Linked DNA regions of Rattus norvegicus. The protein of the gene in region 1 interacts with the protein of each later gene in a pairwise test. Links are inferred from orthologs where the notes say so. Each region holds a gene or a part of one and is shown in the gene's direction. Other genes may lie near its edges. The genes, in order: Mtus2, Taf13 and Gtpbp10.

The links.
Region 2: the proteins of Mtus2 (region 1) and Taf13 interact in binary tests that used the Homo sapiens proteins (3 or more experiments, as listed by UniProt). The two-hybrid records come from large-scale screens. The link is inferred for Rattus norvegicus from reciprocal best matches to the Homo sapiens genes MTUS2 and TAF13.
Region 3: the proteins of Mtus2 (region 1) and Gtpbp10 interact in binary tests that used the Homo sapiens proteins (3 or more experiments, as listed by UniProt). The two-hybrid records come from large-scale screens. The link is inferred for Rattus norvegicus from reciprocal best matches to the Homo sapiens genes MTUS2 and GTPBP10.

Annotation. Positions count from the first base shown.
Region 1 is NC_086030.1:12,111,949-12,115,696, reverse strand, and holds the start of Mtus2 (microtubule-associated tumor suppressor candidate 2), read left to right. Parts: upstream 1-1,193; 5' UTR 1,194-1,867; intron 1,868-3,748. UniProt on the Homo sapiens protein: Binds microtubules. Together with MAPRE1 may target the microtubule depolymerase KIF2C to the plus-end of microtubules. May regulate the dynamics of microtubules at their growing distal tip.
Region 2 is NC_086020.1:198,892,535-198,896,276, forward strand, and holds the start of Taf13 (transcription initiation factor TFIID subunit 13), read left to right. Parts: upstream 1-797; 5' UTR 798-840; coding exon 841-867; intron 868-2,009; coding exon 2,010-2,088; intron 2,089-3,742. UniProt on the Homo sapiens protein: The TFIID basal transcription factor complex plays a major role in the initiation of RNA polymerase II (Pol II)-dependent transcription.
Region 3 is NC_086022.1:29,430,537-29,434,284, forward strand, and holds the start of Gtpbp10 (GTP-binding protein 10), read left to right. Parts: upstream 1-1,146; 5' UTR 1,147-1,222; coding exon 1,223-1,255; intron 1,256-3,115; coding exon 3,116-3,309; intron 3,310-3,748. UniProt on the Homo sapiens protein: May be involved in the ribosome maturation process. Complements an ObgE(CgtA) function in E.coli ribosome maturation. Plays a role of GTPase in vitro. When missing, disorganization of the nucleolar architecture is observed.

The DNA of each region.
Region 1 (3,748 bases):
AATAGGAAAGTGAAGGGCTTGCAGGAGGCTTTTCTATCTTTCTAGGTTTAAGTCAGGCTGGGGGTTTGTGAGTTAGGGGAAGGGAAGGACGAAGGCTTAAATGAAATGCGCTTAAAGGTTGATTTAGATTAGACTGGACTTTGTAATAACAGCCAGTCAGACCGCTTGTTAACACCCGAAGGTGACAGGAAAAGCCATAAAATGTGCCCTAGATTCTTCCAGAAGAAATGGGAAGCCACATAGAATAATGTAAAAAGACAGCCGTGTGAAAAGCGCTCTTTCATGATCTCTCTTCAGTATATAGACCAGTTAGTAAATAACTAAAATAAAAATCAGTTGGTATAAAATGTTGCTCGGCACAGCAGTGCTGGGGTGGGGGAGGGAGCGCAGTTTCCCACACTCTCGACCCCCAAGAGAAAGCGAGCAAGCGAATCAGCAAGCCCATTCTGCTAGCACCTCGTAGTCATTTCTCTGCCAGTCTGTCCCAAGCCTTGGGAACCAGAGGCTGCTGAAGCCCTCAAGCTGTCTTCAGGCTTCCCAGGTGCGCTGCTTTCAGGCGACCTGGAAGAGCCACTGAGAAGTCCCGCGTTCATGTTTACTTCCGAGGAATGGTGTGCATTTCGAAGCAGACAAGCTCGCGTTGAGCCAAGAGTCTTTCAAGTGGGTAGCCGGCTACGCATTGCCCCCAGAATTGGAGGCAGAAGCAGGAGGATATCTGTGAGTCCCAAGTGAGATCCTGCCTCAAACAAAAAGACACCCCACCTCACCCCGCAGCCCCGCCAAACCCGCACACAGCCTCTCACACAAAACCCTTTCACAGCCACTTTAGTCTCTTGTCCATCAGCCCCCCTACCTCCCTTCCAAGTTCTCCCGCCGGACCCCAGCTCTTCTTGCCGCACGTAATTAAAAGAGGCTCTCTCTTCCGATTGGACCACAGCACATCCCACTCGTGGGAGTCCGGGCTCTAGGTCGGCGACCTCAGGCTGTTTCCCCTTTCCCTGGGGTCTGAGGCTGAATGCTCAGGGCCACTGTGGTCCCGTGAGTGCAGGGTCGTGTCCAGCCGGCAGAGGGCGCTCGGTTCCCCCACGGGGCTCCGGCCGAGAGGAGGCGCCGGGGCTCGTGAGCATCTCCGGGCGGCCGGGAGGGGGTGCGCGCCTTGGGCCGCTGCAACCCGGCTTCTGTCACCGCGGACGGCACCTCACTGGAGGGTGGGCGGGAGCGGCGTCTTTGTCCGGCGAGGCGTCCTCAGCCCGGGCCATCCCTGTAATCGGAGCCGGGTGGCCTGGGCGGTGCCCAGCGGTGAAGTGCGCGGGCGGAGGGCTGGCTGCGGCCACGGCCCCAGGTACCCTGGTGCCCCAAGCTCGCCACCTGCGCCACCTCTGCCCGCGCTCTGTCAAGTTGCAGAAGACCCGGGTGGGTCAGGAGTCTGGACGCGTGGGCGCGTTGCAAACTCCAGCTGCGAAGGAGCTGCGAGCGGAGGTAGCCCGGCCGGGGATGCTCCCGGAGGCTGCCCTGGTCTCTCTGCACATCCTTCTTGGCTCCTCCAGACTCAGGTGAGCGACTGTCGTCCGCGCGTCCCGATCTGGCTGGAGACAGGTGCAGAGCGGGGCGGAGGCGGTGCCTTTCCCTGGCTTCTCTGGCATCAGAGCGCCCGCTCCCCGCTGCCCACATCTTCTGCTCCGCCGGAGAGAGGCTGCAGCCCACTCGCACCTTCCGGGGATGCCAGGTTGAGCACGGTGTTTCAGAGGCGACAGCGGGTTAGCCTAAACGAGCTCCCACCCCTCTCCACCCCCAGCTCGGGATAATTCGGTCCGTGCCTTCGTCTTAATTTAGCACCGATGTGTTATTTCCTTGGAGCTCTAGAATGGTAAGGCTTGCTCCATCCATTTTTTTTTCAACCCCCTTCATTCCGAGTCTGTGCAGGGAAAGGAACTACAGGCTTGCAAGTGATGTTACTACCGTTCTATTTTAGATACAAACACCCAGAGAAGTACGCTTGGCGGCGTGCCAGAGGCGCCTGCACTCTTTGTTATGTAAGTGCTTCACAGGAATATTTGGTATCTGGTAAAGTTAGGAGCGGTTACCAGAGAACGTAAGAGCGCAGGAAGTCAGAGCCATAATTTCTGTCCTAGATCAAAACTTTCCTTCAGGATAAGCATACGATGGCTTCGATATCATTTAAAGGCGACGCGAGGTCCTTTCCAAAAAAAAAAAAAAAAAAAAAATCATACGGTAAAATCTCAAGCGTTAAGACACAAAACAGGTTTTTATGAAGTCTGTTATGAAAACCAGTGGGACGTCTCTGACAAGAAATAGGTGGGAAGTGATTTAAAGAAATAGGTCCCCCGTCACATAGCCTTTTTGGCTTTTAAACTGTTAGGTTTATTTTGCTGTCACGTGGGCACGGCTAATTGTGAGTTGATCGCTAATAAAGATCTCTGCTCACACGTACAGTAATTTTTCAGGTATAAAGACGAAAGTGGAAGGCATCAGATGCACATTCTGTCCCTACTGGCTTCTGGTGATGGCGTTTGTTATGTGTCTGGCTTTCTGGTGCTTGACATGTGTAGTCAGGGCTAAGACTGTTTGGTGGGTATTGCTTCGGGTTTCGTTTAGTCTCAGTGCAGCGTAAGGTGTGGTTCTGTGGGTTCGAGGTACCACAGCCATGCGTGTGGTGTATAGGGAGAGAAACTTGTGTTGGACTGGAGAGAAGCTAATAGATTTTAGCCCATGTCTCTTTTCATTTAAGTGATTTTCCTGCTTGTTTTTCTTGCAAAGAAAAGCTGTGTGTACCAGGGACCCTTAGTTCCACAAAGGGTACCCATGGGAGTCTTAGTGTGGGGTACAGTACATTACGCAGAGGAAACCCTGAAAGTTCAGTAGTCTTGGGGAGAGGGAGCGTCTTCTTTTGTTTGCATAATAAAAAAAATCAAGTTTCACCAAGGATTATTTTTCTCACTGAATGGACGATTTCATATACTATATGGGAATGCAAACTAGTCAATCAGGTGCAAGCCTTTTCGGTATTTTTAAGGACAGAGGGAAAACTGGCATCTTTTATAAGTGTACATTTCCATACCTTGGGGGCGGGCTTACCGAGGCTTTATGGGAGATTATGTAAGAGCCACGACGGTGGTGCTTCTGGTACTCCGTTAAACTCTCTGCTCTGGCTATTACATAATTGACACGGAACTAGGCTGTCAGAGCTGAAACCGTGGGGGAGGATGTATAAAGACCTAGGCTCATGTGGATGCACAACACACACACACACACACACACACACACACACACACACACACACACACACACGCCCGAGGCTTTCTAATGAATTGTTGCTGCCCAATTAGAGGGAGCAGCAGGGACGGTCGTTTGTGAATGGGAGATAAGAACTGGGGAGGATGGCTGGAGTAGATAACTGCTATGTTTAGCAATTTTCTAGAGATCTCAGTGCTGGCTGGAAACTTCTGCAGCCCTTTACATGCGGACTGAGACCCAGAGGCTGGGAATCTTGGGCTTCTGGTCCCTCACCTGGACTTACTTTGGGAGGCCCCGGGGTGGGGGACACTGGCCATGTATTTATGTGGTTTTGTAGTTTTGGGTTCTTTTTTAAATAGGGAGGATTCCATTGCTACTCTCTCAGCCCCCAATTTTATAAGTCCAAGTTTCTATGACTCGAATCTGTTCCATTATGTTTAAATGTTACCTTATGAAATAGCCTTTTCTTTTAAATTTTATTATTTTTTTTTTA
Region 2 (3,742 bases), on another chromosome or scaffold:
CCCAGGGATTAAACCTGAATATTAGTCTTATTCCGTGAGAGCTTTCACTGACTGTACCATCTCTCCCGCACATCTTTTGTAATTAAAAAACCAAACCCAAACCCACCCCCCTCATAAAACCCAATGTACACACACACACACACACACACACACACACACACACACACACACACACACAAAATTACGGAGGCAGGAAAGATTGCTCTGCAGCTAAGAGCATTGGCTGCTTTTCCAAAGACTTGAGTTTGATTCCCAGCCCCTACATAGCGGTTCACAATCATCTAACTCTAGTTTCAGGGAATTAGTTGCTCTCTTCTGGCCTCTTTGGCGCTGCGAACACATGGTACACATGCGTGTCTGCAAAACACTCATATACATAAAGATTATATATATATTTTTAAAAAGTATATCTATGTGGGCTTGTGTACTTGAATGCATCAGCCCCAGAGGCAAAAATTCATCATATTCCCCTGGAGCTGGAATTACAGGCATTTGGGAGTCTCCATTAGTATGCACAAATTTATCATTTATGATTTCTGAGATATGGGCTCATGAAGCTTGAGTGGTCTCGAACTCTAAGCTCTCTTGCCTCGGCCAAGTGCACGGAATTTTTTCGGTATAGTACACCACGCCTGGCATCTTTGTAATTTTTAATCCCTTCTTCAGGATTCCACGCCTAAGTACGCGTCACTGATTTTCAGCCAATCTCAAGGCCGGGGTTAGGAGAATGAGAGTGCACACCCATCTGCGCAACTCCGGCCAGGCCGGAAGTGACGCACATATCTTATAAATCTTGCGAGCCGCCCTTGGGCGGGCTCAGAAGGCTGGCGGGCTGCTAGCATGGCAGATGAGGAGGAAGATCCCACCGTGAGTGAGCGCCCGTCACAGCCTGTTTCCTCACTCCCTCTGGCTCACTAGCGGAGGCAGAGTCTGACCCTCCTGAGCCTTAGGGAATCCCGCCGAGAGTTCGGGGTCTCCGCGGTGTTTTCCTCTTCCTTCGGTTTACCTTAGTCAGTGCGTGGGGCAGGAAGGGAAGGAAAAGTAGACAGGATCTCCTTTTGATCTGGATCTTCCTGACACTGAGAGTCTAGAGAGTCATAGGAGATCAAAGCAAATACTGCGGAACCAGCAGCCCATCTGCTAACAAAACTAGTGAAAATAGTGGAGAAAAGATGAACTAAAGTCAGGAAGTTTGAGATCCAGATTCTCCTTTGGAGTTATTTAACTTAAGGCATCGGTTTTCTTGTCGTGAGATAGGGTCAAGCCCAGTTAAGGAAAGTTTTTAGCCCTGTATTGACAGGTGCTTAGTAAATGTTGCTTCTGATGGCAGCAGAGAGTAGATTTTAAACTATCAGGTCTTTTACAGTAGTAGCATTGCTTAGCAGTATGACAACTAAATGGGCTAAAACCAAACCCAGAACCTGACGTCCATTTGAACTTCACACACACACACACCCCGGGTAGGGTTGTTAGTTAGGAGCCGTAATAAAAGACTTCTTGCACGACTTGAGAAGTGGAATAGGACATAAGAGCCCTCTGATGCTAAGTTTCTATGACTTTGTGCTGTTTGCCTTAGCTTACCACTTTTGAAAATGCAAAAGGGTCACTGGGCATGGTGGTGCACACTTTGAATCCCAGCACTCAGAAAAGGATCTCTGAGTTCCAGGCAGACGGGCACATACCTTGTCTCAAAAAAAAAAAAAAAAAAAAAGTCTAGAGATTTTGCTTTAGTGCATCTGGCTACCTACAGCAGTTAGACCCCTTTTTTGGCCTCTACGGGCATTTGCAGGCATAGTCAATGTAGGCACACACAATACATATAAATAATAAATGTCTTTCAAAAAAAGATGAAAAGGGCACTGGAGTGTAGCTCAGTGGTCAATTAACTGTTTAGAATCGTGAGCTCCTAGGTTCAATTCATAGCACTCAAAAGAGAGAGCAGGAGGAGACTCTGGAGAATATCACGTGCACTGCCATCATTTGACATTTCTGTATTTTTAAATTTCTAGTTTGAGGAGGAAAATGAAGAAATTGGAGGAGGAGCAGAAGGTGGCCAGGGGAAGAGAAAGAGACTTTTCTCTAAAGAACGTAAGTTGTACTTTCCAATGCTTTTATTACAGGTGGTGAGAGCTTTTAAACATGTCCTTGGAGAGTAGGTACATTGCTCTGCATATGTTTGCTTAGAGGGACAGTGTTCTCAGACTTGCCTGTAAGGTTGTTTTTATTCCTGTTTGTTTTTGCTTTTTTTTTAAAAAAAAATTATTTTATGTATATGAGTACCAGAAGAGGGCATCAATTCCATTACAGATGGCTGTGAGCCACCATGTGGTTGCTGGGAATTGAACTCAGGACCTCTGGAAGAGCAGTTAGTGCTCTTAACTGCTGAGCCATCTTTCTAGCTCCCCTTGTTTTTGCTTTCTTTTTTTTTAAAGATAGGCTCTGCATAGGCTTGGCTATATTGGTGCTCACTGTTTAGCCCAAGCTAGCTTTGGGTGGCGGTAGTCCTCCTGCCTTAGCCTCTCAAGTATTGGGATTGCCGGTGTGCCTCCTGTGGTTGGTATAAGTCTCTTTATCATGTATACTAATTCTCTCTTTGTGACGTAAAATAATGAATGTGATTCCCCCCCACCCACACATACACTTTGAGGTGGGTTTTTTTTATTTTATTTCTTTTAGTTTTTTTTTTTTCCTTTTCTTTTTTTTTTTTTCGGAGCTGGGGACCGAACCCAGGGCCTTGCGCTTGGTAGGCAAGCGCTCTACCACTGAGCTAAATCCCCAACCCCTCTTTTAGTTTTTTTTTAAGATTGATTGATTGATTATAATTACACTGTAACTGTCTTCAGACACACCAGAAGAGGGCACCAGATCTCATTACAGATGGTTGTGAGCTGCCATGTGGTTGCTGGAAATTGAACTCAGGATTCCTGGAAGAGCAGTCAGTGCTCTTAACCACTCAGCCATCTCTCCAGCCCTCTTTGAGGTTTTTGAGACAGGGTTTTTCTGTGTAGCTCTGGCTGTCTTAGAGCTCATTCTGCAGATCAGGCTAGTTTTGAACTCACAGAGAGATACATATGCCTCCACCTCTGCCTCTGCCTCCTAAGTGCTGGGATTGACACTGTGAACCACAGCCACCCAGCTGAGGCAGGGTTTTTATATCCCAGTATGGTTTCAACCTTGGTATGTAGATGAGTATGACCTTGAACTTCTCCTGTCTGTATCCCTCGTGCTACACATAGGCCCATATGTCATGATTCCCAGTTTGTTTAGCTAAGGATTGACCCTAGTTGTGTGTGTTAGGCTAGCACTCAGCTACTAACTGAGCTACATTCATTGCACCGCTGCCCCTCCCCCTTTCTGTTTTTTTGTTTGCTTTGTTTTTGTTGTTGTTTTTCCCTTTCTGTGTTTAGCAGGGTCTCATGTACCCTAGATTGGTCTTGTATTTATTACGTAGCTGGGGATGACTATGATGTTATATTCCTCTTGTGTCCACCTTTCAAACGATGTAAGTTGAGGCTTTGGACTAAGGCACTGATCAGGGCAAGAAAGTGAAGTCTGGGGTACTAACAGTGTCGTTAACCTTCCATCATACTCCTTAGGCAGACAAGTTAAATCCTTAGAGCAGCAGGGTGAGCTGTTTCCTCTTGTCATGCCAATACTAATTCCTGAGAATGCCCTCTCCATCCCCGTGCCCAGGGACCTTGTCTGAGCATTGAGAAGTGTAGCAGCATAGATTTATAAATGC
Region 3 (3,748 bases), on another chromosome or scaffold:
GGCAGCACTTTTCTAGATTTAACAGGAAAAGTATGATGACAGCAACTTGATATTCTGGTTCTTCAAAAGGTTAAGTATGTTGATCGAGGACTTTTCCCTAGCTGGAACCTGGCAAAGGCTAGTCTTGGAACTCTGAAAATTGCAAAGTTACGGGCAGTCTGCTACATGCCTGCGTGCTAGACTAGAAAACAGGGCTCTGGTTTATTCGTGTAGATAAGGTTCTGCATCCTATACAATAAGATGAGGAATTTGTGAAAGGGGCGAGTCCTCGCATATGGGAAGAAAGGAAAGTAATTTCACCAGACCAGGGGATTTTACAAAACGATCTTCTTGTGCCAAATCACCAAGTCAGCCAATTTTGCTCCTTTTCTATGCAGGTGTCCCTTTCTTCTGAATGGTATATTAAAACAATTTCACTTTTTATTAGTTTCCTAACTGTTATCTTGTTCCCACATTTTCACACCTTAACAGGACAGCTTCTTCGCCTCTTATTAAAACACCATTTGGAAGTACACTGGGTGGAAACTACTGCTCTGTCTAGATTCCTTTACTATTCGAGGGTCTTTTTCTGATGCTTCCTCCCCAAGCTGCAATGTAATCTCTCGTGTTCTCACAAGGGCAGCCTTCAAATGATAGGTGAAAACTCTTGGCTGAGTCCAGATTGGGGTTTTTGTTTATTTCCACTGCAAACATGATTCTTTGTGCAGATCTAGATCGTTGCGTTTCTTTTAATACGCCTGTGCTACAAGTTTTAAGTGATTGGTTCCTTGAAGTTAAAACCTTAGCTAGAAAAATTACTCAGGTCGTCATCCAGCAGTCTTTTAAGGCTCTCCGTGTCTTACACACGTTTTTGTTTACTCCTGTTGGAGGGTTCTTCACCTCGAGAAAATCCTGGCACCTCAGGTTCTTCAGCTACCATAAAAATGTTTGTGAAGCAGGCCAGTCTCCTACGCACAGCGTTTAACTAAAGAGACTCCTACCCTGAGCTCTGCTGTTCTTTGCACACAACTTAGAAGAATCTCACTTCCCTTTGCACTCCCCTTTCTACACTGGGAGACTCCGAGAACTTCCAAAGCACACGCCCACCTTCCGCGAGGGCACTGGACTACGCACGCGCGGATCCGCTGAGACGTCACCTCGGCGACTAGTAGTGACGTCAGAAGGCGCGCCTGGCCGAAACCTGTCCGGATTCTGCGGGCGGGAGTCCTGCCCCTTGGAGCTCATGGTGCGCTGTGGTTGCGCGTTGTTGAGAAAGGTCCGTGTCAGGGGCTCATCCCCCAGCTTTGCTGTCTCTCGCCGCTCTTCTCCTGGGTTCCTTAATTCCCGCTGTCCTGGGAGAAGACTGTCTCTGTAACATGCTTACCCCTGTTTGGGGTCCAGCTATAGGGAATTCCTATAATGTTCCCCAAAGCACGTGGGAGGATAGTTGGGCTACCTGACTGCGGTTTAGACTCGGCATTACGGTGTACGAGCCGTGCAGAGGCTTTTTTCTGTGTTAGTTTTGGTTCTCGTTGTTTAAAAGACTGTCCATAACCTTCTTTTATACGTTTCCCCTCCTTGGCACTGCTTTTAATATTTTTCTGAAGACTTTTTCTGGAAGCCAAAGTGTGTAATTGCTGTACTGCGTACAGAAATTTTACGTCAGTTTTTATGTAATGCCTGATTTAGAATCCATTTTTATAACAATCTGCAACCAACTGCTTCGATTAAAAAAAAATCACAGTGAGCTAACTAGCAACAGTTTGTGAAAGTTAGAAGTCACCTTATTACATAAACTGTTGTTATTAACAGCCATTTAAGATTGCAGCTCTTATAAATGAGCTTCCCCAAGAAATATGACAAATCTAAAGAATAAAGGAAAAGTCACACATTGAGTACAGCTTTAAAAGCCCTTACCAAGAATATCTCAGGGTGGTCAATCTTCAGTTTTTTTAAACCCACAGATATTTTTGATACCCAAAAATATTGCAAGTTGACAAAAATGTGAATATTAATTTACTCTGTAATTTGAAAGCCTGGGATTAAGACACAAGAGCTTTATAAGAAGTTACTTATGTAGTGAGGCTAACTAAATGTTGATTAAGAACCAGAAGGTATAATACAATGTCTGTGAAAGCCTGCAAAGCCAGAGAGTCAATGAGAGCGATATTTCAAGGATGGCTCAGACCACAAAACCATAAACCACAGTTTAGTTGTATTTGAGGATACATTGAAACTCTGACACCAGAAAATGGGTTTATGATAGAACAAATGATAATCTGTGTAGAGGAGAAACCATGACTAGAGTGGCAGAGAGAGTGGGCAGCTCAGAAAAGAACAGTAAAGCTCCAACAAGTGATGGTCACCCTGGTGAGATCTGCTGAGGGTTTTGAATACAGCACTGTGAACTTTATTATTTCATAAGCAGTAAAACCCCAAAGTCACGATTGTTTCTGAGTAAAGAGAAACATAGACGTCAGGTTCACTTAAGGGGAAATAAAGATGCTCTTGGCTCCTGGTGGTGTGTGCATTAAGAAGGAATGACGAGACCCTGAGAGACCATTTGGAGTTAACAGTCAAGGTTCTAAGGGAACAGTGATTCTGGAAAGGAGTTAGGCTTCTTGGAAAGCAAAAATTACAGTAAAAAGATATCCGTTTGTTCAATCTAGATGAGCAGATAATTAACTGAGGGAACAGCTTTTTGTTGCTGTTGCTGCTGCTTTTAGAACATTTTGTTTGGAGGGATCCATCCAGTGGCTACCCACCAACAGGTTACTCATTTAAAGGGTTTTTCATGTAAACAGAAGGCAGTTCTGCTTTCAGTTGTTTTAAACACTTAAAAGCTTAACCTTTTCACAGGGGAGCATTACTAGTACCTACTGAGGTCACCCTGAAGAGAAGGTTTAGAATGAAAACGGGAAAGGGCAGACTCCTTGAGGCTAGGTGAAGCATTTGATCATTAAGGGAGAGAGAGTGGGAAAGGAGGTAGTGCAAGAAAGGGCTATACATACAGGTGCTATACAGACAGCTTTGATTCTTTCCTCAAAGAAGCCTCAGTAGAATGAAACCAGAACCTTTTAAGTTAATAGAATATTTGATATATAAATATCCTCTCTTTCTCTCTCATTTTCTTAAGTATGGAAATTTCATTGATAATCTAAGAATCTTCACCAAGGGAGGAAGTGGTGGAATGGGCTACCCTCGTTTAGGTGGAGAAGGTGGAAGAGGTGGTGACGTCTGGGTTGTGGCCCATAAAAATATGACCTTAAAACAACTTAAAAACAAATACCCTCAGAAACGGTTTGTGGCCGGAGGAGGAGCAAACAGTCGGTAAGTGCTTATGGGGTGGTTCTCAGCTTCATGAAAGTCAAACTCTTCTGGGGAAACCAGAATATAGAGCTTTACTAATAACTCAAATTACCTTCTGTATTCTCATCAAGCATAAGTCTAACATGACTATTTTGGTGGGTTTGACCTTTGTCCATTTACTCTCCCAGTGTCCCTTTTCTATTTCCTCCTGGGAATAGATGTTATCTGAATCCGTACTTTGTTCCAAACTTACCTTGGGCAAAATTTCAGTAGTGCCCCAGCGGCTCCCTACCGTGGAGAGGCTTTCATTTATAGTTCTTCCACCCAGATATAACCACTAGCCAGTTGGACTTGACTTTTCTAATACATTTCTGTGGTTTTACAAATGTAATCATGTGTTTGTGTATAAAGTCCAGCATAAAGAAATAAGATAACAGAGCACAGTATTTTACAATGCCCT